4 linked regions of the Caenorhabditis elegans genome follow. The protein of the gene in region 2 purifies or fractionates together with the protein of the main gene of each other region. This does not show direct contact. Each region holds a gene or a part of one and is shown on either strand. Other genes may lie near its edges.

What was found.
Region 1: the proteins of C11D2.3 (region 2) and K10D3.4 fractionate together in Caenorhabditis elegans (co-fractionation; one large-scale study listed by BioGRID). This does not show direct contact.
Region 3: the proteins of C11D2.3 (region 2) and glb-4 fractionate together in Caenorhabditis elegans (co-fractionation; one large-scale study listed by BioGRID). This does not show direct contact.
Region 4: the proteins of C11D2.3 (region 2) and idha-1 fractionate together in Caenorhabditis elegans (co-fractionation; one large-scale study listed by BioGRID). This does not show direct contact.

The regions. Positions count from the first base shown.
Region 1 is NC_003279.8:7,134,229-7,141,981, reverse strand, and holds K10D3.4 (BPTI/Kunitz inhibitor domain-containing protein), read left to right. Parts: upstream 1-2,008; 5' UTR 2,009-2,310; coding exon 2,311-2,488; exon of another isoform or gene 2,489-3,500; intron 3,501-3,769; coding exon 3,770-4,273; intron 4,274-4,492; coding exon 4,493-4,642; intron 4,643-4,731; coding exon 4,732-4,962; intron 4,963-5,015; coding exon 5,016-6,179; intron 6,180-6,249; coding exon 6,250-6,426; intron 6,427-6,473; coding exon 6,474-6,723; intron 6,724-6,778; coding exon 6,779-6,893; 3' UTR 6,894-7,244; downstream 7,245-7,753. Other genes in the region: hpo-11 (Protein kinase domain-containing protein), read left to right, coding at 1-374, 949-1,072, 1,426-1,529, 1,581-1,704.
Region 2 is NC_003282.8:6,150,176-6,155,196, reverse strand, and holds C11D2.3 (BLOC-1-related complex subunit 5), read right to left. Parts: upstream 3,385-5,021; 5' UTR 3,295-3,384; intron 3,244-3,294; 5' UTR 2,761-3,243; coding exon 2,742-2,760; intron 2,678-2,741; coding exon 2,568-2,677; intron 2,379-2,567; coding exon 2,203-2,378; intron 2,154-2,202; exon of another isoform or gene 2,133-2,153; intron 1,858-2,132; exon of another isoform or gene 1,833-1,857; intron 1,464-1,832; coding exon 1,383-1,463; intron 972-1,382; coding exon 774-971; intron 728-773; coding exon 574-727; 3' UTR 520-573; downstream 1-519. Other genes in the region: C11D2.7 (PUA domain-containing protein), read left to right, coding at 1-141, 209-475.
Region 3 is NC_003280.10:11,109,056-11,112,950, forward strand, and holds glb-4 (GLOBIN domain-containing protein), read right to left. Parts: upstream 2,153-3,895; 5' UTR 2,115-2,152; coding exon 2,008-2,114; intron 1,963-2,007; coding exon 1,750-1,962; intron 1,703-1,749; coding exon 1,595-1,702; intron 1,545-1,594; coding exon 1,380-1,544; intron 1,334-1,379; coding exon 1,248-1,333; intron 968-1,247; coding exon 817-967; intron 763-816; coding exon 558-762; 3' UTR 516-557; downstream 1-515. Other genes in the region: apc-1 (Anaphase-promoting complex subunit 1), read left to right, coding at 1-79, 365-511, 3,695-3,782.
Region 4 is NC_003279.8:8,606,034-8,610,509, forward strand, and holds idha-1 (putative isocitrate dehydrogenase [NAD] subunit alpha, mitochondrial), read right to left. Parts: upstream 2,599-4,476; 5' UTR 2,591-2,598; coding exon 2,522-2,590; intron 2,479-2,521; coding exon 2,404-2,478; intron 2,358-2,403; coding exon 2,253-2,357; intron 2,206-2,252; coding exon 1,999-2,205; intron 1,953-1,998; coding exon 1,829-1,952; intron 1,785-1,828; coding exon 1,702-1,784; intron 1,639-1,701; coding exon 1,466-1,638; intron 1,185-1,465; coding exon 1,091-1,184; intron 1,044-1,090; coding exon 897-1,043; 3' UTR 516-896; downstream 1-515. Other genes in the region: F43G9.13 (Vesicle transport protein), read left to right, coding at 134-218, 265-344, 407-499; lmd-1 (LysM domain-containing protein), read left to right, coding at 3,898-4,077, 4,127-4,274, 4,324-4,416, 4,467-4,476.

The sequences.
Region 1 (7,753 bases), on a different chromosome or scaffold from region 2:
ACGGATATATCTGCTCCTTCATCAACGCATCCTTCAGCCAACTCAACAATCACTGCAGAAACATCAGTTAATACTAGTTTACCTGGTCAATCATCACAGCCAAGTGGTACAACAACTAATACAAATGGACCATCTTCCATCGGTAAATCAGCAAGTCCTGAAGCAGTTGATAAGAAAATCGGTGAAGTTACGAGTACGGAATCAACGAGTAAAGTCGAAGTTGAAGTCAATGGAGCAAATGTTACAATAGGATCATCAAATGGGCGTGATGCTGGATCACCGACTCCGGAAGAAGAAGGAGAACCAAATGGGGAGAGAGATATGCGGTTAGAAAATAGACACATTTTGGAGATCAATGTGCATATTGAAAATGAGTACGTTTCTTTTCTTTCAAAGTATACTTCCTGAATCAGTTCACCCTTTCCTGATAGAATTTTAAATAAGACCCGAAATTTGATGATTCGGGTCTCGACACGAAAAATTTAATGTTAAATGCGAAAAGGCGCGCGCCTTTAAAGAGTACTGTAGTTTTAAAACGTATTTGCTTCGGAATTACAATAGACTTTTCATAGTTTTTTGATGAAAAGTTTAAATATTTAAAAAATAAATATAAAAGTACAACAATTTAAATTTGGACAAAACCAAGATAAAAACTATGAAATTTTGATGAAAATTTTGTAGAAGTTTGAACGAAAGTTACTAACTTTGTATATTATATATTTTTCAAATACATAAATATATTTTTATCGGAAAACTATGAAAATCGATGGAAATTCCGAAGCAACTAGATTTTAAAACTACAGTATTCTTTAAAGGCACCCACTTTTCTGAATTTGCGAAAACAATTGTCGTGTCGAGACCGGGTATCGTATATTAGAGGAAAAAAGTGCAAAGTTCGCATCTGATGAAACCTGATGTAATTATTTACATTAACAAATTAATTTTCAGAGAAATGTCAATTGTTCTTCTATTAGAAGATCAAATGCATCGGCAATTAACAACGTCGATCAACAAGGGTGACAATCCAGAAACTTTGACTGAAAATCTGATTACACACGGTTTTATGTGTCAGGTGAGTGACTTTGTTGGCGTTCTCCCTTAAACTTTTCTTCTCTTCGCTCACTCTAAGTGGAGAATGCAGAAAAGGATAATCTGCTGATAGAGAGACTCTTACGGCTTTCTCAACAAATAAGGACACCGGCAAACACACTGCACGTTGGATGATGGGGGGGGGGGGGGGTGACCTTTTTTTCTTGGTCTATCGAGTTGCTCATAATGATGCTTATCCTCTATAGCGCTAGCGCACGCTGATGGTCACTCGACACATAGCTAACAAACATGCGCGTTGAAAATGATAATATGAGAAGAAGAGAGAATAAACCAAACACTTCAAAAAACACATAAATATCAAAACTTTAATTTCAGCTGGATTCGGAAGGAGTCGAAAAAGCAATTGCAGTGGCTTTTGATATTCGTGCTGCTCGTATTGCAGAAGGTGTTCAGGAAGAGGAGAATGAAACATCAACGAGGTAAATTTCAAAATGAAGTTTTGAAAAACTTTTTAAAAATTAATTTTTCAGAGAGTCAAACTCTGAGGCTCCAATTGAAAACGGTACTTCAAGCTCGATAACGAATTCGGTAAAACCAATTGTTGATTCGGTTGCTCCTTCATCTCAAACACCAACAACAACAACATCTTCCTAGTCTTCAATTTCTGTTTCCAATCATCTCCATCCCTCCATCCCTCCCCACATCCCCGTATTATATTTCCTGTTACAGTTTTTCTCTGTTTTTGTCCAGTTTCCTCTTGTTCCTTTAACCATTTCTGGTGATTAGATGGGGATCTTTTTCTATTAACTCTTTTCTCTTTGAATAGTTCAATATGGGTCAATCGGTATGTCTAGGTTCTCTTATTCACTAACTGCGAGAGCTCTGTGCGCATTTGTTTACCGAGAATTAACCATTTCGATATTGTGAGAGAGATCGCGCTCAAGAAAGATGGGACGACAGTTCCGCCCAGGAAGTAATAGAGCAACGACTGGGCGGGTCTCGGAGCCACCGCCGTGAGCACCACCAAGTCCATAGTCGACGGGTTGACGGTGACTGTGTGCTGTATAGAGGTTTGTCTGTTCGTGTTGACTGACTCTCGGCCCCTTCTAAGATATTTGGTAGTGGTATTTGCGGTCGTGCGAAGAGACGACGGACACGGTCAAACGCCCGACAAATCGTTTGTCCCCCCACTCACTCCCCCCATTATTCCCTATTGATCACTGTGATATAGCAGTTTTCAACAAACGATAAGCGAGCACAATGCTTAAATTAGCGGCTCTGTTGCTGCTTGCCGCTATCGCGGTCCGTGCCCAACACGGAACCGTAGGACGGCCTTGTGAGGTCTCCACAGATTGCGGAACCGGAAATTATTGTGCTGGAAATAAGCGATGTGCCTGTCTGACGACATATGTCGAGATTGATTCTTATTGCTGGAGAAGTAAGTATTTGATAAAATAAAGAGAAACGAGATTACTGTAGATCCCCATACTGATCACCTTCCCCCATTCTCGCTGTGCTAGCTTCTCGCCTTCTCGCTTTCTAACTTTAATTCACATTCTTCTTGTCGTTTTCATCATTATTCATATTTCACGTACATTTGTGTATTCATGTTGAATGCATGCGTTTTTTCATGTTAGGCACTTTTCCGTTTTTCCCCTTCATAGTCCCATCAAACTTTCATTTCAATTCTTCGTTTCCTTTTTATCTATGTGAAAATGGCATCGAAAACGTCTAGATTCCCTACAACGATTCCCGTAACACGGGCTCCAAAATTTCTAGGTTTTTACCCGATATCCGCCGTGAGTTGCTCGGGTCGTGCCAACTTCTAAAATGAGATCTCTTGGCACAACGAACCGAAAACTCCCGGCGTCTTCGTTCCCCATCCAGTTTGTTCTCCTAAGCTCATATCGTGGCCCCATCCCTTTAGACTTTCTTCTTTGTTTCTCACAATCTATATTCTTTTTATTTTGGCAAATACTATGTATGGCATTTTAAATTGTGATTCTATGTATCTTCCAACGAATAATGCCATACAAAGAATTTAGTATCCTGATTCGTTTTATCTCGCGCTGTTATCCTCGTCTCCCGTGTTTTTAGTATACCCTAGGTCCTTCTATTTTCTTCTCTTGTCAAAACGAAACATCCAGAACCAACACGGATGCTCATCAACATTATTTTTTATTGTTTCGTTTCATTGCTTATCGTCGTCGTTTTGCTGGGTTGTTGTTCTCCATCCTGGCGGGTTGCTCTTTTAACTTTTTTCTCCTCATCCGATTTTAGTTGTCGTTTCTGCAAAATTTGAGTCACAAAAATGCCACCAGCGCAAGCACACACACATATATAAGCCTAACTTATTTTGCCACCGACTGCTTTTCTCTTATTTTCTCTTTTCTTACCTTCCTTGTGAACCATTTTCTTCTTTGATGCATAAATAAATTATGAATTGATTATTCACTTTCTCAATCTTTCAAACTAACACCTAAATCGTTTTTTTGGTACATCAGTAAACGTTTTTAAGCAATTTGACCCTTTATGATACAGTTTTTACGAAACAATTTGTAACAAACAAATGTTGAAAAGTGAGGATTTAAACTCAATAAACTCGTTTCGCACGAAAAATAAATTTCCAATTTTCCATTTCTTGAGTCATAAGTGAAAACTGCAATGTAGTTGAAATTTTTACTAATTTTCTTCAATTGAAATGAAATAATATATTTAGAAATCAATCCGGGAGAGTCTGGATGTACACAAAATCGACAATGTGAAGCCGTTTGGCCAGGTGCATACTGTAGATCAGGAGAATGTCGATGTGCCAACAATCAACCACCATTCCGTACTCGTGATGGTCTTGTGTGTCTCAACTATGGATTCTGTCCACTTAACGGAAATAATCCAAAGTTCCGCATTGAAAACCAAGTTCAACAGTGCTACGGAGGAGCCGATGCCACGTGTGAAGCTATTGGAGCTCTTTCATACGATTGTATTTGTGATTCTGATGATTGTACCGTCAACAATCCTATCAGTTTCTGTTGTCCATCACGTGCATTTGCTTGTATTCAACCACCAAATGAAGGATACACTCCACCAGGTGGTGGTACTACTTTGAATCATTGGTACCATGACCCAATTACCGGAGAATGTAGAGAGCTCAAATATCAAGGATACGGTGGAAATGCCAACAACTTCCAGACAAAGGATCATTGCGAGTCTTACTGTAAACAAAGTGAGTTTATATTTATTGAATGAAATTATATGGTTAATTTGCGATGTATACATATAGCCTCAATGAGCACAGTAGACTCAGTTTAATAGTCTATATGTGAATCGTCCTACCACCATGCCAATAGTGTGAGGTTGCTGACGGACACATAGAAAATTAACCGTGTTTAACAACTTCCAATTTGAAAAAGTCAAATTCTACTTTAAAATTAAAACTGTTCAGCCTGTAACCGCGGTCTTCCATTGTATCGTGACCGTACAACTGGAGTCAAACAAGAGCCAGTTTATTGTCAAGGAAATGACAATGGATGTAACAACCCGAACTATCAATGTACAACCATGGGAACTCTTCAACAATGTTGTCCAACTTACTGTAAGTTTATGAGAGTTTACCGAATTTTGATATTAAGAGAATAAAACCTTTGAATATTCAAGATGGTACTTATTAATTTAAATTTTTAGTGTTCATCTGCTCTCGAAATGGAGGAATTCCATCAGAAGTCTACAATACAGCCGGAGGTCTACCAACCGAATACTTTGATGTCGGAATCCCAGATGGTTCTGGAAACACTTCGCCAAGATTCTACTACGATTCGCGAGAAGGACGTTGTATTCAATTCTCGTATCTCGGACAGGGAGGAAACTTTAACAACTTCCTTTCTCAAGATCACTGTGAGAAATTCTGCTCAAGAAGTAAGGAAACTGTTTTCTTTGAAGAATTTTAACTTTAAACATGTATATTTCAGTTCTCTGTTCTGCTGGAGAACCACTCAAGGATTCATCTGGAGAACGCAACATGGAATGCTCACCAACTGGTTCTGGAGCCAACTCATGTCCATCTACTCACTCCTGTGAGTCTACTTCTGGCTCAACTACTTTCGGAGGAGTCTGTTGTCCACGTCCGCAGTACGTGTGCAAGTTGCCAAGAGAACAAGGTAACTGTGGAACATATTCCAATCGTTGGTGGTTCAATGCTAAAACCGGAAACTGCGAAGAGTTTATCTATTCTGGATGTCAAGGAAATGCTAATAACTTCGAAACGTACAAAGAATGCCAAGATTACTGTAGAGATGCTCGCAGTGAGCCACAATGTATTCAAGGAACCGCTCTTACTGATTCCAACGGAAACTTCATTATCTGTGGAGGATCTTCAGCTGCTTCTACCACCTGTCCAGCTAATCATTACTGTTATTATGATGGAACCACCTATGGATGTTGTCCAACTCAAGCTTACACTTGTTCATTGTCTTACAAATCTGGAGCATCTTGTGGACCAGCTGTCACTCGTTGGTATTATGATTCTACAACTAGAACTTGTCAGACATACTCTTTCAATGGTTGTGATGGAAACTCTAATAACTTTGCCACTCAACAAGATTGTAAGGATTACTGTAGAGTTGAATCATGTCCAGATGGAGGAGAAGTATGGAAGGAGCAGAATGGAGCAGCACGTGCTTGTACAACTAACCGACAATGCCCATCTACTCATTACTGTACACCAGTTACCACATGGACTGGAACCGTTTACCAAACAAAGAGTCTCTGCTGTCCATCAAAGAATTTCGTATGCTCTCAACCACGTGACGTCGGAGTTAGATGTTCTAGCACAAGAATCTCCAGATGGTACTTCAATGCTGATTCAAAGACATGCCAAACATTTGAATATAATGGATGTGAAGGAAATCGCAATAACTTTGCTTCTCAAAAGTCTTGTCAAAACTATTGTCTTTCGGAAGCCTGTCCACCAGGAACTGTTGTTGCCAAGGATGGAGATGGAAGCAGACTTGTTCAATGCTCAAATCCAGGTGGAAATGGAAGAGTTTCCGGTGGTTGTCCCGATGGTTACACTTGTTATTCTTCACCACTTCTTGATCAGAATGTTTGCTGCGGAGCTTCGACTGAACTTCAATGTTAGTTTTTTTAATTACAGCTTCTTAAACATACTTTTTATCTTTCAAAATTCCAAAAATTAATTTCCAGCTCTCTGCCCTGCTGCTTCAACTCCATTCATTTCTGCTCTCTCACTTCAACCAATGCAATGTACTCCAAATGTTGATGGAGCTTGCCCTGGAAACTTCTTCTGCTGGTTCTCAACTACAACAACATCAGTCAATGCTTTCTACTGCTGCAGATCCCCAGACTCTGTTGATACAGGATGTAAGTATCTTCGAGTTAACCCTCATAATTTAGTCATTTTCTTTTAGACTGCCCACCACAACTTGTTCCTGTACCAGGAGAAAACGGAGCCCAGTACAAATACTGCTCTCCATCAGCTCCACTCAATGACGCCATCCAGGGTTGTGGAGCCAACAGACATTGCCAATTCTCCACTAATTTGGAAAGATATATCTGTTGTGGACTTGAGTCAGATGTTCGATTGCCGAATGTTTGCCCACCACAACCAGCTAATTTGGTTCCAGTCGAGTTGGCTGGAAACTATAGGACGTGCAATCCGTAAGTGAAATTTGATTTGAAAAATTGAATGGTTTTCAATTTTGTATAATTTTAGATATGCTCGTGCTGGAACTCCACAATCTTGTCCAGACAACTCAGCATGTCTTTACACGGGCAATGACAATGGATTCATCTGTTGCAGAGTTCAGTTGGGAAATGGAAAGAGTTAAACAAGAGCTCCGGGGTTCACGACTTTGTTCTCTAAAATTTCTAAATTCTTTCATTTATTTTTTGATGTTTTTTCTTGACTTTTTCGCCATCTCATTCCCACGTACATGTGTATTCCCCACCAAACAAATAATTTTTCTGCATAACTTACACTGTACGGTTGTCTGTTTTTCCTCTATCAATTGTTCATTTTCCTCTCATTGTTTTTCCATGTAACTGGAAAAAATCGATGCCAAAAAGAGCCTGAAAATCAGAAATCTATATTTTCAAAGTTCTGTTTTGACGTCAATCGTATTGCTATTTTTAGCTATGTTTTGAGTTTTCTTCTTTTGAAATAAAACGAAATTTCCAATTCTAAGTTTCCCATTATGTGAAATCAGAAGGCTGCCATGTTTAAAGTGTAAAAAGTTATTATTGAAAAGTTAAAATATCAAGATGGTTAGAAGATCATACTCAACTCGTGAGCATTTTTCTTATCTAGAAATGTTCCACTTTTACTTTGCTCAAGTAGAACTCTACTGGGGGAAAATTACAGAAATCGAAAATTTTTTTTGGTGCCCGCGTTTCCTTTTTCAAGACTTCGTGTACGAATTCATTCGTTTTTTAAAATGAATTTAGATTTTTTAAATTAGGTGTTGATTCAAATGTTTTTGAGAAAAACGATAACCATCACAATCATTTTTGAGAGGAGACCAGATTCAATCTACAGTACCCCGGCATTTTTCTAATTCAAGTTTATGTGGATTGGAAGGTTATTTTTATGGAAGTATAGAAATCATTTACCACTTCCAATGATTCATTTCCAATATAAACCAAAAATATAGACAACTTTGTCACAATAGAGATCGATGAAATAACAATA
Region 2 (5,021 bases):
AAAGTGATCAAATGCAAGGATCACATTGAATTGCTCGCCGATCATCTGGGTGTCGTGCGATTTGTTAAAACACGTAACACTGATTACATTCCAACTTTGAGAACACTTCACAAGTATCCATTCATTCTTCCACATCAACAGGTTGGTTATAAATTGATTATTTACCTGGTTCAACATTTCCATTTATTGATGAAAATTCAAATTTCAGGTCGACAAAGGTGCCATCAAATTCATCCTGAACGGATCTTCAATAATGTGTCCTGGATTAACATCGCCAGGAGCTAAACTCACTCCTCTCGTACCAAAGGATTCAGTGGTTGCTGTGATGGCTGAAGGAAAGCAACATGCGTTGGCAATTGGTTTGATGTCAATGAGCAGTGAGGAAATTCAATCTGTGAATAAAGGAAACGGAATTGAAAATCTTCATTATTTGAACGATGGGCTGTGGCACTTGGCTGAAAAATCGTTGAACTGATGTGCTCGAATTCCCGGTCGTCGTGCTCTTTATCAGACTTCCAATAATTTGAGATGATCTTTATTTTATATGTCCATTTTGGGATTTAATTTATATTTTCATGCACTTTCTTTTGTTGTATCTTTTCCTTTTCCATCTCGATTCTCATAAAATTTCCAAAGTTTTCCGTCGAGTTTCTTGATTCTCTTTTCTTCCCTTTCAATACGCCACGCTATTTCTTCCAGTTGAGATTCCTCATTTTTGCGAACTTGCCTGCAATTTCTCAACATCAGAGCGAAACAAAACAAACTTCACTTACTGATTCGCGTGATGAGTCTGTCGTAATGCGTGAAGTTGAGTTGTCAAGCTGCTCAACTTAAAGGCTTTCTCCGAGAAATCATCGACTAAAACCTGAAAAGAATTGTCCAGAGCACATTGATACTTCTCGGTTACTTCATTGCAAACAGCCAAGCATCCAAGAGCCTCACTGATTTTATTATTCTGCTGCTCAATGTTCCTGGAAAAATTATTTTTGCATTAAAGTACACATGAGCAAATATTATCTCGCTAGGTATTTGGCGGGAAAACTGAAAATTCGAGCGATTTCTAAATATAATTATTACCATTTTCTAATCATTCTCCGTCTATTTTGATGTGTTTCCTGCTGGCCTAAACATGCATTTATAACAATTAATTCGGCACGAAAATCATTTAACAAACAACAGAAAAAATAACAAAAATGTTTGATAGCTGACAAAATCGGCAAAACTAACTGAAAAGTTTAAATTTACAGTCTTGGCACCTAATACGAGACCCAACTGTGGGAGGCGGGGCGGTTTTAATTGGCTGTGGAGCGCGTTTCCACATCGATTTCAAAGGGAACATTCTGCTCCTTTGAAATCTCTTCTGCGTCCCCATAATAACTCACAATTCAATAGCATCAAGAAGTCCCCGCTTCTCGAAATAGTTTGTTCTCTGAGCATGTAGATTTCCCTGGATTTTCGCAAATCTAAATTGAAATTTCTGAAAAGAACTTTCTCAAACCAGGTACCGGATATCTCGTCGCGATACTACAGTAATCTACAGTTCATCATACTCCGGCAACAGTATGATCGCTATGAGATATTATCGAAAGAATACGATCGCACAATTTTCTCATAATTTATTTTTGATTTACCTTGTTGACTAGGCTCCTCCTCTTCCTTTGACAAGACAGCCACAACAAAATAACAACGGCAACAAGATCAACAGGTAGATCAAAAATATATTATGAGAAATTTGTGCGATCGTATTTTTTCGATAATATCAGGGAAGTGATTATGTTCAGTAATTTTTGTAATTTATAAATTTTGGAAGATTTCACAAAAGCTATTAAATAACTTTTTTGCGGGACAAGAGACTAATTGCAAATTTTTTAAAGCTTTTGTTTATCTCAACCGGTGAAACAGTGAAAAAGCTTATGAAACATTTGTGAATTTTTATACTTAAAATTCTCATCAATTCAATCTCACAACACGAATATGTGTAGAATTCGAAGCCGAAAAAAATATTTTTTTTAATTTAGCCGCCTTAAAAATTCCAAAGATAAATTCCAAGAATAGTCGCGGACTTCGTGATGAAAAAAAAAATTTACTGTTTCAGAACTTTAATATCTTTTCATATAATCAGGATAAAACATTCAACCACCATTTTTTGGAAGATCCTATAGAATACAAATCGAAAAAAATGTTGTTTAATAGTAAACTTACGAACTGAACGCTCTGCTCAAATAGTCAACATCGTCCATTTTTGGTTTTTCACTGATATAGTTTGAAAAATATTGATTATCAATGCACAATGACGGTGTAATTGTTGGAATCGGAGGAAGTGATGGTCCAGGATCAGATGGTATGGGTTCATCTTCAGAAGGGACAGAGGTTACTTTCTGTAATATGAAAAGTTTCTAGTTTTCCATAGATATTTTTAATTACTCATGTTGTGGTTATTCTTCACAATAAACAAAACATTCAAGCGGGTCTCACAGCGAAATAAATTTTTTAAATATTAAACATTAAGTTTTCAGTCAAAAAATGTACTGTTACGTTGAAATGTTACTATTATTCAGATAACTTACTTGACCTTGTTTCCCTTTTGACTGAATAGAAGGTAACTTCACATATGAGATCCTCCTCGTTGATTTCTGCCATCTCAGTGTTGATGAAGAAGCACCAGGTTTGTTAGAACCTTCAACAAAATTTAATTTTATCACAGGTCTAAAGAGAAAACGTAAGAAATATAACTTTCTTACCTGCAATCGATGGGAACATTGAAACTTTTGAAAAGCAAAAATAAACTCAAATTTTGAGCAACATTTTGAGCAGCAGTGAAAGGTTACTGAACCAGTTTCAAATTTTATTTAGTGTCATGGCATGGCTCTGGTTGAGTTGCAAAATTGTCCAGTGAACTGGAAGCATAATTGGCAGAAAATAAAGGCTTGAGTGGAAAAAAAAATTAAAAAGTCAGGGCCAAAAGTGATTATGAATACGGATTTTTTGAAATTGCACGTTCATATATGACGTCACGCCTCTGCACGCCACTTTAAAATTCACGTATTTAGACAGCTTCAGATACCCACCAAAATGAGAGACACAGTCTCCTCCCAGCTTCTTCCTCTGCAAAACACCGAACAACAATTTACAAAAACAACAATTTACAAAAAGTTGCCGGTGTAGGCATTAGGAAGACGAATATTAGGGCCAGGAAAACGTCCCGTTCTCATCAAAGGGGATGTCTAGTGAACAACAATAAAACTGAAAATATTCGAATAGATTAAATTTGGTATCATTTGGAGTTATTATTACTATAAATATGAAGTACTTGAATCACTACAATAGTCGCATAAAAACTGAGATATGAATAAGTCTTTTTACATTCAACAATTGAATGTCAAATTACCATTCAATATTTGCTTTCTGGACATTAACCATGCACTTTTATTCACTGTCATGAGTTTTCTCTCGTGATATTATTCACACAGCTTTTGTCCCTATCAAAAGAAATACGCGACTGTCACATTTATCTTTGTTTTGTCTATTTGCAAGTCAAATAAGTGTTCTACATTGATGCGCAGACACGAATGTTGGAATTAAACAGTTTTACAGAAAAATGGTTTACCTATAGGCTTACAGGCTATTATCTAGTCCTTGAAAATTAACGGCATCCAAGATTTTTATTCAGACAGGTTTTATGTTAAAGAGAAATAATCTTTTTTTGGGTCTATGTCTACTTTGAACATTGAAAACCTTTGAAAGGAAAGTTATATGGACCATACAAATAAAAACTTATTTTTTTTCTAATCATTGTAAGACAGGTCGTACAATTGGAAACAATTCGATTTCACCGCACCTATACCGTGAATATGAAACGATTTTCGATATTTTATAAACCCCTGAAAAGAAACGTGTGATTACTCAAATCGTTCAGCTCCCTCATTTTTTTTCCGATTTTGCCATTTTCTTACTTTAAATTTTAAAGTTTTGTTTCGTTTCACATTTTCCGCAAGGCTATAATTTTACGAGTGATCTACCCACATATTCAACTTCTTGATAAAAAATGTATTTTGAATTTGTTTTCTGTCCAATTGACCAATTTAAATGCTTGAAACTCCTATATACTTTGCAAAAAAAATTAATGTTTTTCATACATCATAAAACATATTCCAAACTCAGTTGAGAGTTAAATATAGAGTTGAATTTTGAATTGAGATCTGGAAAAATTTGACGTCAGAGGCATCTTCTTGACAAAACGTCGCAAGTTCATAGCAAATTTTTGCAATTTAGAAAATTAATTCAATAGAAATTTAAAAAATGGTCTGAAAATCTTTAGAAATTTGTTGAAAATTTAAAGTGCTCAACAGTAGTTGCAAGAGTACGCTAACAAATTGGACCGATTTGCCGAGTTCTTTTTTTGGGATTCTTGTTGAAAAATGATTGCCGCAAATTTAAGTGATTTGATCTTTGTGATACAGTAACCCAAGACATATGTCTACGTTACTGACAGCATTGATTTGCATATAGTGTATAGAATATGCACAGTCTGAAAATAGAACTATTTTCTTTGAACTTTGTAAATCAAATTTAATTATCCTTTAATTATTATTTTTTTTTAAATTATAATTTAAATCCCTGTAATTTTTGTCGGTTTCAAGAGTCCCATATTACCATTTACACGCTTTCTTTCAATTGTCCATAATTATTCATGAATTTTATTTTCTCCGCCCATTCGCTTTTGCCCACTATACTCAGTTGATGTTTCCATTTTCTTTTGTGGCTGTGCCCTCTTATCTTTTCTCTTATTGCCGTCCTCCTTCTCCACAGTCGCCTCTCTTTTTTTCTAATTTCGTTGTGTGTTTTTCAAATATTTTTGAATGTGATTTATGATTTTTGAGTTAATTTTCTTGAAAAAGAGGTGAGAGAGAAGGCATTTGGAGCATTTTTTTATGGGGATATTTTTTCGAAAATACTAAAAACCACTTATTTATTTAAACATTGTGCACCAACTTACTCAACATACCTTAACTTACATTACA
Region 3 (3,895 bases), on a different chromosome or scaffold from region 2:
ACAATGTTCGCGTCGAGTTTGGCGCCGAATTCTGCCGGCAGAACTACGCATTTTGATCCGACACTCAACTCTCCCGCCGGTAATTTTTGAAAACTTGAGCTTTTGGATAAATATATTATTCGTATTGTATCAGACATTCAAATCGTCAATATTTAGTTAATTTACAGTGATTTAAGTTAAAAACCAAAAAAACCTCGTTTCGAACAGGAAATAATTCGATTTTCCCCAAAAACTACTAAAAAAATCAAATGTTAAATTAGAAAGAGTTGTGATTAAAAACTAAAAAATAAATATTTTCAATTATGATATAGTGTGGAAGTCCGAGTTAATTTATATTCAACAAAAAATCATAATTATTTTCCAGAAAATGTGCTCTCCGAAGTGATCAGCTCGGAAATTGATAGCCGCTCACCGTTCACTCCTCATCTGCGATCCGGTTTTGGACATTCTACTCCAAACAACCCGAACGCTCCAGGCTACCCTGCAACACTTCCAACACCGAATTTTGAAGGTAATTTTTTTTTTTAATTCATAAAAATTTATTAGCACCATTAACCTCAAGTCGTGGGCGATCGTGCACGATGATGATGATCAAAATTTAAAAGTGTTATGCTTCGCCGTTGCTGATGCGCTCGTCCTGGCACTCGATTCTGTTTGACTTGATCTTCGAGGGGGCTCAATTGAGACGTCAACTTGAGCAGTTGAATGTCGCAATTATTTAGAAGAATTGACGGGTTGTTGGGAGAAGACATACGGCGGTTTCTGAAAATACGTGAAGTGAGAATTATAGCTGATGTCCGTCAAATTGTTACATACCGTAGTGCTGTGAAGTCTTGGCTATTCCTTTGAAGAGCTCCACCCGCGCGGAACATACTTCTTCGTCGATATGGAGTAATTGGAGATGATGGCTGAGTTGTTGTAGTCGTCGAGTTGCTCTCTGTTGAGCCAAGAAGAGCACACATTGGAGCTAGATTTGAGTAAATTAGAATATGAATTTAGCCAACAGAAACCAACAACAAAAAAACTATAAAACGAAAAGCACACGGCACACAGCAAACCTAGAAGTTAGTGTATTTATTGTTATATATATATATATATATACGTGGTGAGAAGGAAAGTGTAGAAGCGAACAAAATCAACTGAAGAATATCGAGAAAACTATCTAAGTGATCTACGAGGTGGTGGTGGGCGGTGTTTAGATGATGGTGAGCTACGACACGAATGTGAATGATGAACTTGAGACGCACCGATTGCCGGCGACATGTTCGGTTCGAGAAAATGGGAGGCGGATCGGGAACGTGATGAACGCATCGATGCCATTGAGATTATCGAGCTGGAATGTTTAGATTTTTTTGTGGAAGATATGGAAGAGCACTTACTTTGTAATGCTTAACCGAAGAGGTGTCTTTTCACTTGCACATCCCTCATATCCTCGTTTCATTGATTCGATTAACATGCAGGAAAACTGTCTCCAAGACTCACAAACTTCTTCTTCTTCACTTTTCTCCGCTGCCCTAGACCTTATTCTCAATATTCGCCGAATTCTGAAAACCAGTTGATTTCCCACCCGTGATGTAAATTGTCAAAAAGTTACTTGCTATCCTCTGTGACAACCCGCATGTACATTTTGCTCATGGCGATCGGAAGTTGTTGGGCAAACGGAGCCCAAAAGCAGTTGTCATTTCCCTCATTCATATAATGTCTATAAACATTTTTGTGAGTGTTGTCCCACCCACGCATATGACTAACCGATGGCGTGCTCCGAGACGGAAGGAAAGCGTCTTGATCATTTCTGGATCACATTTGTGAACTTTGATGAGTATGTTGAGAAAGTCACGAACTTGATTGATGATGTTGAGAAATTGAGCATTTTCCTTATAGGTAGCGTGCATAGTCTCTGGTAGATCAACAAGAGCCCATACCCATGTGGGTGTTAACTCGGCGGATTTGAGCCAAGCCTCACTGAAAACAATTGCTTTTCAGGAACAGTCTGAAAAAAGAGCTCACCTAATGGCATCACTCAGAAGCTGTGGATCGTGCGAGTTTATTGTATTCCACGTATGTACTACATGTTTTCGATGTGTAGATAGTTGACGAGCAGACTGATTGCCCATTTTGTTGCATAGTCCGGAAGATCTCTGATACACTGAAAATGAGCTTCATCATTAAGTATCTCATCTATCCTAACTGAGCCAATCGTAAAAGAACAGAATGAATCAAAGAATGGATTTTCTCTTTTCTATCTGTTTATAGCAACGGAAGCTTCAAAGAGAGTAGAAAGAGCACACAGTTGTTTAGCATGCTCTTTTCGCGAAGGTGAATAATGAATAATTATGGGTATTCGAATATGTTATGATGAGCTCACGAGGACGTAACATTATTCAAAGAAATAGCTGAAGAAGTTGTTTTTCAGACATTCTCGTCGAAGATGCAATTTTCACAGAAAAAAATTGAGAAAGGAAGTGCGTCGATCTTCTCAAAGATGATTATATAAAGAGAAGAAGGTCACTCATGTGATAGGAGGTTCAAAACAATGAAAATGCAGAGCCGATTTCTTTTTAAAATCGAGTAAAACTTGGAGCGGCCGCCCGACTTAACTAATAGCGTCCGGAATATGATAAATGGGGCGGCGTCTTGGTGCTTCAGCATTGCAAGATGAGACCAGCAGCAGATGTAAAAACAAAATACGTCCTCGACTAAATAAGAAAAATGATTGACAACGACGTCCGATGTGTTCTGGCAGCTATAAGGAAGAAAAAAGACGTGGGAGGGGAAGGAGGAGTCGAATTGCACACGATATTCTGAATTTCGTTCTGAAATTCGTCTCGAATGTGAACAAAAGTTCTACGATGAGAAAATCAAATTAGATTCGGGGGTGTCACCGCGACTGAACTCTGATTGACGAGAGAGCCTATTGACTAGAGAAGGAGATCTGTGAATGTGAAATTTGAAATCGAAACAATTTGATTATCTTCTCTTCTACGTCAAAAAGGCGTCCGATAGGCGTGAGAAGCACTCATGAAAATTGGAGAGGGAGACCCCCTTTTTCAAAAAAACTGAATTAGACTTTTGAATGAAACGGATATCAGATGAAGCTTTGAAACTTTTCGTGGACTAACTCTATAGAGATCTACAACGAGATTATTAGAGCAACAAGGCCTGATCTTGAAAACGGAGCTCTAAAGGAGCTCCAAACTAGATCAACCTAGCTGCTGCTGCTGCAAGAAATAGAGTCACACTTCCGGGCTGGAAATAGCAAAACTGGAAGAGTCGAGCAATTTGTTGTGTGGCGCCTCATATTCCACGTAAGGCCTGTTGAACATTGCCGCCGCCGAGTGTGCACACCGACAAAAGAGACTTTGTGTTGCTGCACATGTGAAATTGTAGATATGTATAGCCCTGAGGGCGTAAATCACATTTGCATTCGGTGCTCTTTTCGTTGTCGTCGCATCGCCAAAAGAATCTCTCTTTTAGAAGAACAAGGCGTGTACAGGAAAGACACAGAGATTAGTGTGAGCCATTGAAAGAAAAAAAGAGTTTGCTTCTGTTTTCATCCTCCTCTAGGCTCAGTCGCTGACCAGTAAATTTGTGTGTGTGTGTGCCAGATGAACCCGTGAATAGGTGATGAGGCCAATGAAGGCACAAAAATAAAAATGAGGAAGAATGAGAAAGTATGTACTTTTTTTTATTTCAGGCAACAATGACTCTCAAATATGGGCAACTACTCCGAATACGCCACGAGTTATTGCGAGAGGAGGTCTCGAACGGAATATACATACTAGGTACAGTTAATGAGAAATTTCGTTAAAGAAGGAGCACCTCGAAGGAAAAGAAAATTTCGGAAAAAAACCTGAATTTGCGAAGATCTAAAATATCGCCGAATTTTCTTCGATGC
Region 4 (4,476 bases), on a different chromosome or scaffold from region 2:
TGAACGCACACCATGCACTCAACAAGTATATTAGTCGTGTCGAAACTGGGGTCTGTATTCTTTGGCATAATTTGCTACGGGTAATATGACATATTTTATTCAGAAACTATTTTTTATGTTTCAATTGTTCCAGGTAATTAGTCTCGGAGCCACAATTCTTTCCCTTTTCACTCTTCGAAAACATCCATACGTTTGCTTTATTCCAATTCCATTTATCAGTAAGATTCTGAAAATCTTTTTTTTTTCATAATTTCAACTTTTCAGTAATGATGTTCATCATTCCTTTCGTTTTTGGTGCTCCTACGTCAATGGTTCTCGCACTGGCAATGTACGCTTCGAAAAATGTACGTTAAAAAAAATTTACTTTTCAAGAAGTTAAAAAGTTGAGGGAAAAAACATTTTTCAGGCTGTGAGCACTTGGTATTGTGCAATAATGGGTATCATTCAAACTCTTCTGATTTTCGTGACTTCTGTAACCCGAATCCACGCGACGCTGTAACTTATTGTGATTATGTAGAAACGATTGCTTTAATAAATTTTTTTAGTTTCTTTGTCTATAAAATCTCGAAAAGAAAAAACCATATAAAAATTTCCAGAAATGAACAGAAATAATGGGAATCGAAAGATGGTGTAGAAGAAGAAAAAACAAAAGTCTCGGGGTGCTTATAGTTATGCGAGTGAATCAGAGAAGACTTATCGAACGATTTTGTGGTTCATGCCAATGGGATAGGAGTAAAGCGATTAAGGACGCGGGATGGACTGGTGGGTAATCTATACAAAATTGAAAACCGAAAAAAGGTGTCATTAAATCATTACTAATCATCAAAGTGTTTTAGTGTCTAACAGCCTGTTTACAATAAGAAAAAGAAAATAGAAGGGGAAGTAGCATTGAGCATTTATTCGAGGTCTTTAACACGGGCACAAACATCAGCGGTGAATGAAGAGCAAGTTCCAGTACCTCCGAGATCTCCAGTTTTGGCACGTCCATCAGCAATTGCATCAAATACAGCCTTTTCGATACGAGCAGCGTGTTGTGGAAGGTTCTGAAAATGAGCTTGTAAAATTTTTAGACCGACTACGATATAAAAACCATGTAACGGAGCATCATGACGGCAGATAGAAGAAGAGCAGTTGGGTTTGCTTTGTCTTGTCCAGCAATATCTGGGGCGGTTCCGTGAACGGATCTGTAAAGAAATTTGGTAAGTTTTGTTTGAATAAAAAATTGTATTTCGCTATAAAATAAAGTTTTCAGGTTAAAAAAAATTAGATTTAAATTTTATTGAGAAGATTAAAAAAATGCAAGATTTCATCAAATTCAACTTTTTTAGTATTTCCTACTTTTATAATTTCGTATTTTTTGCTTTCGATTTCACTTCTATGTGTTTATCTGAAATTTCAGAAATTAACAAAAATTCTAAACTGAGTTCATTTCATTTGTCAAAGCATTTTTTAACAAAAAACATACTCAAATACGGCGGCTCCTTTTCCAATATTTCCAGATGGGGTGACTCCGAGTCCTCCAACAAGACCAGCGCACAAATCGGAAAGAATGTCTCCATACAAGTTTGGCATGACAAGAACATCGTATTGTGATGGATCCTGGACCATGTTCAAGCAAACTGTGTCGAGGTAGGCTTCCTAAAATTATAGATTATAAATTTTAACAGGAAGTGGTTTTTCTTTAAATTCTATTATTCATACCTTGAACTTGATATCTGGGTAGAGGGCAGCTTGCTCGCGGCAGATGGACAAAAACAAACCGTCGGATTGTCTCATAATGTTGGCTGTAAAAATAATTGTTTTAATTTTCTTTTTCAATTTATATTACCTTTGTGGACAGCAGTCACAACTTTGCGCCCATTTTGACGAGCATACTCGAAGGCGAAGCTGGCGACATTGCGAGAAGCAGTTTCAGTAATAAGCTTGATAGATTGAACAACTCCCGGGACAATCTGAAACAATTATTAGGTGATACATTTATTATTTAATTTAATATACCTCGTGCTCAATTCCAGAGTACTCTCCCTCTGTGTTCTCACGAATTGTGACAACATCGACATTGTCGTACAATGTCTTGTGTCCTTCAAGGGAACGGCATGGACGAACGTTGGCGTAAAGGCTAAACTCTTTTCTCACAGCCAAATTCAAAGATCTGTGTCCTTTTCCAATTGGGGTCTCGAGTGGTCCTTTAAGTCCAACTTTGTTCTGAAAAACGTAACAATCAGAAATAAATGTACAATTTTCAAACTAACCGCGTGCATAAGCTCGATGCAACGACTTGGAATACGGAAGACTCCATCGCGTCCCTTAACTGGAGTCACATCAACTGGGTCCCAAGCAATCGGGGCATCGGCGGCCTAGAAATAACATGATGTAAGACACACGAAATAATTGAAAATTCACCTCAAAAATCTTCTGTACAGAAGCTGAAATTTCCGGCCCAATTCCGTCTCCTGGAATTAAAGTGACACGGCGAACCTGAACAAAACTGGCTTTTTTATAAAGTTTCGAGGTTTCTTACGTCTCCGGAGCTGTATCTGATGGATTGTCCGACGGTAGACGACGCCTTTTTGATGCACTTGCCAAGCATTCTGAACCCTGGAAACAAAAATATTTGAGATGGAAGGAAAAATTGAGCGAGAAAGAAAATGAAAAAGTATTTACGATGCACATTTTTTGAGACTATCTAGACGATCATATTTTGGAAAATCAAAATTTAACATCAGGAATCATTAATAAAATATGTTAAGCCTTAAATTAAAGAGCCAAGGAAAAGGGCGGTAGCAGGGCAGCCGAGGTGTTCGGTAGAGCGCAATTTATCGATCATTGGAAAGGGCGGCCAGCAAAAGCCAGTTGAAAAATAGAAAAGCAAATGGAGGGTGCGAGACGGGTATACAATAGACACATTGCATATTGTTTTTTTCTGTTTCGTTTCTCTTTTTCTTCCGGATCCTTGCGTGCGTTTGTCGCAGCGTCCCGCTGCGTGGAAACAGCTAGCCAGATATAATCTCTTTGCACCTGTAGCTACGGCATCCTGCGACGTGGATTTCAGTTTTTATTGATTATTTAAAATTATACCACGTATGTAAACTAAATAATGGAACACATAATTTTTGGTGAAAAACTGTACTAAATGTACTATCATCTGACTTTCTCTTTCACTTGATATCGTACAATTAATGCGTAATTTGAGAGATAAGACATTAATGCATTATAAAGAAGATTTTCGAAGCTTCTTCCGTTTTAATCAAGTTTTAAAAAATAAATTAGTGAAAAACTATAACATTCTTCTAGGACACTTTTTTAAAGTATTTATTTAATCTTGTTTAAACGTTGACGTTAAAGGTGCACCCATGGGTACGTTTTCCTATTTTCTTTTAATTTTTAATGAGGAATTCATCTGAAAATGTGACATAATTTGTCAAATTTTGGATATATTTTTTCGCAAAAAAACTTGATTATTATTAAGTTCGCTGAAACTCTGAAAATAGATTAAACCGATAGTTTTACATTCTCTGAAACGTTAAAATTTTTATTTAGTGAAATTGTTTCGTTGTTAAGCGTTTTAAAGCTGTTTATGTGTCAAATGTAAGAAAATTTAGTAAAAGGTGTTGTTTTATCAATTTACTTGCTGAAAAAAGGCAAAATCATTACAATAATACAGAAAAATAAAAAAAAACAGGATTGAACAAGTTTAACGTTTCGAAGGCTGATTCTGTTCCGCCCGTAAATCCACACGCGCGTTAGGACACATTTTATGGTTTCGAGATAGGCGCCTTCAAAATTACTGTACTTGTGTCTGCGTCTCTGATTTATACACGATGTTTTTAAGTGTCTCGTGGATTTTGACAACTTCGAAAAATACATTTTATTTTTATTTATTTAATTTTCAGTAAAATGGCAATGAAAGAAGGCAGCTCAGTGGAGCAATTTGCAATGAGAAGTCGTGCAGCAAGGACTTCATCGAGTGAAGGTTTCCAAAACGATATGCCCACATACAAGGATGTAGTTTTTATTGAAAGAAAAGTAAAAAACGGCGATACACTCAATAAATTGGCAATAAAATATCAAGTAAATGTGAGTTCTGTCGGTTTCAATAAAATATTTTATTTGCAATATTTTTCAGGTAGCCGAAATAAAACGAGTGAATAATATGGTATCCGAGCAAGATTTTATGGCACTTTCAAAAGTGAAAATTCCAGTTAGCCGAATGAGAATGGCGTTAGGCGTACAATCGGCTTTAAGCCAAGACGAAGAAGACGAAATTCTTATTGGTTAGTTTTTTTTTGCTGAGATAAAGCTTTAATTTCTAAAGATTTACAGATATTGATGACAGAACTGCACTTCTGCGAGAAGATCGAGGCTCACGAGATCCCAGTGTCGAGGATATTTTCCATAAAACTGATACTAACATAGGTGAATAAAAGTTAATAAAAATTATTAAAAAACAAATAGAAAAATTTCAGCTCAAGTTCG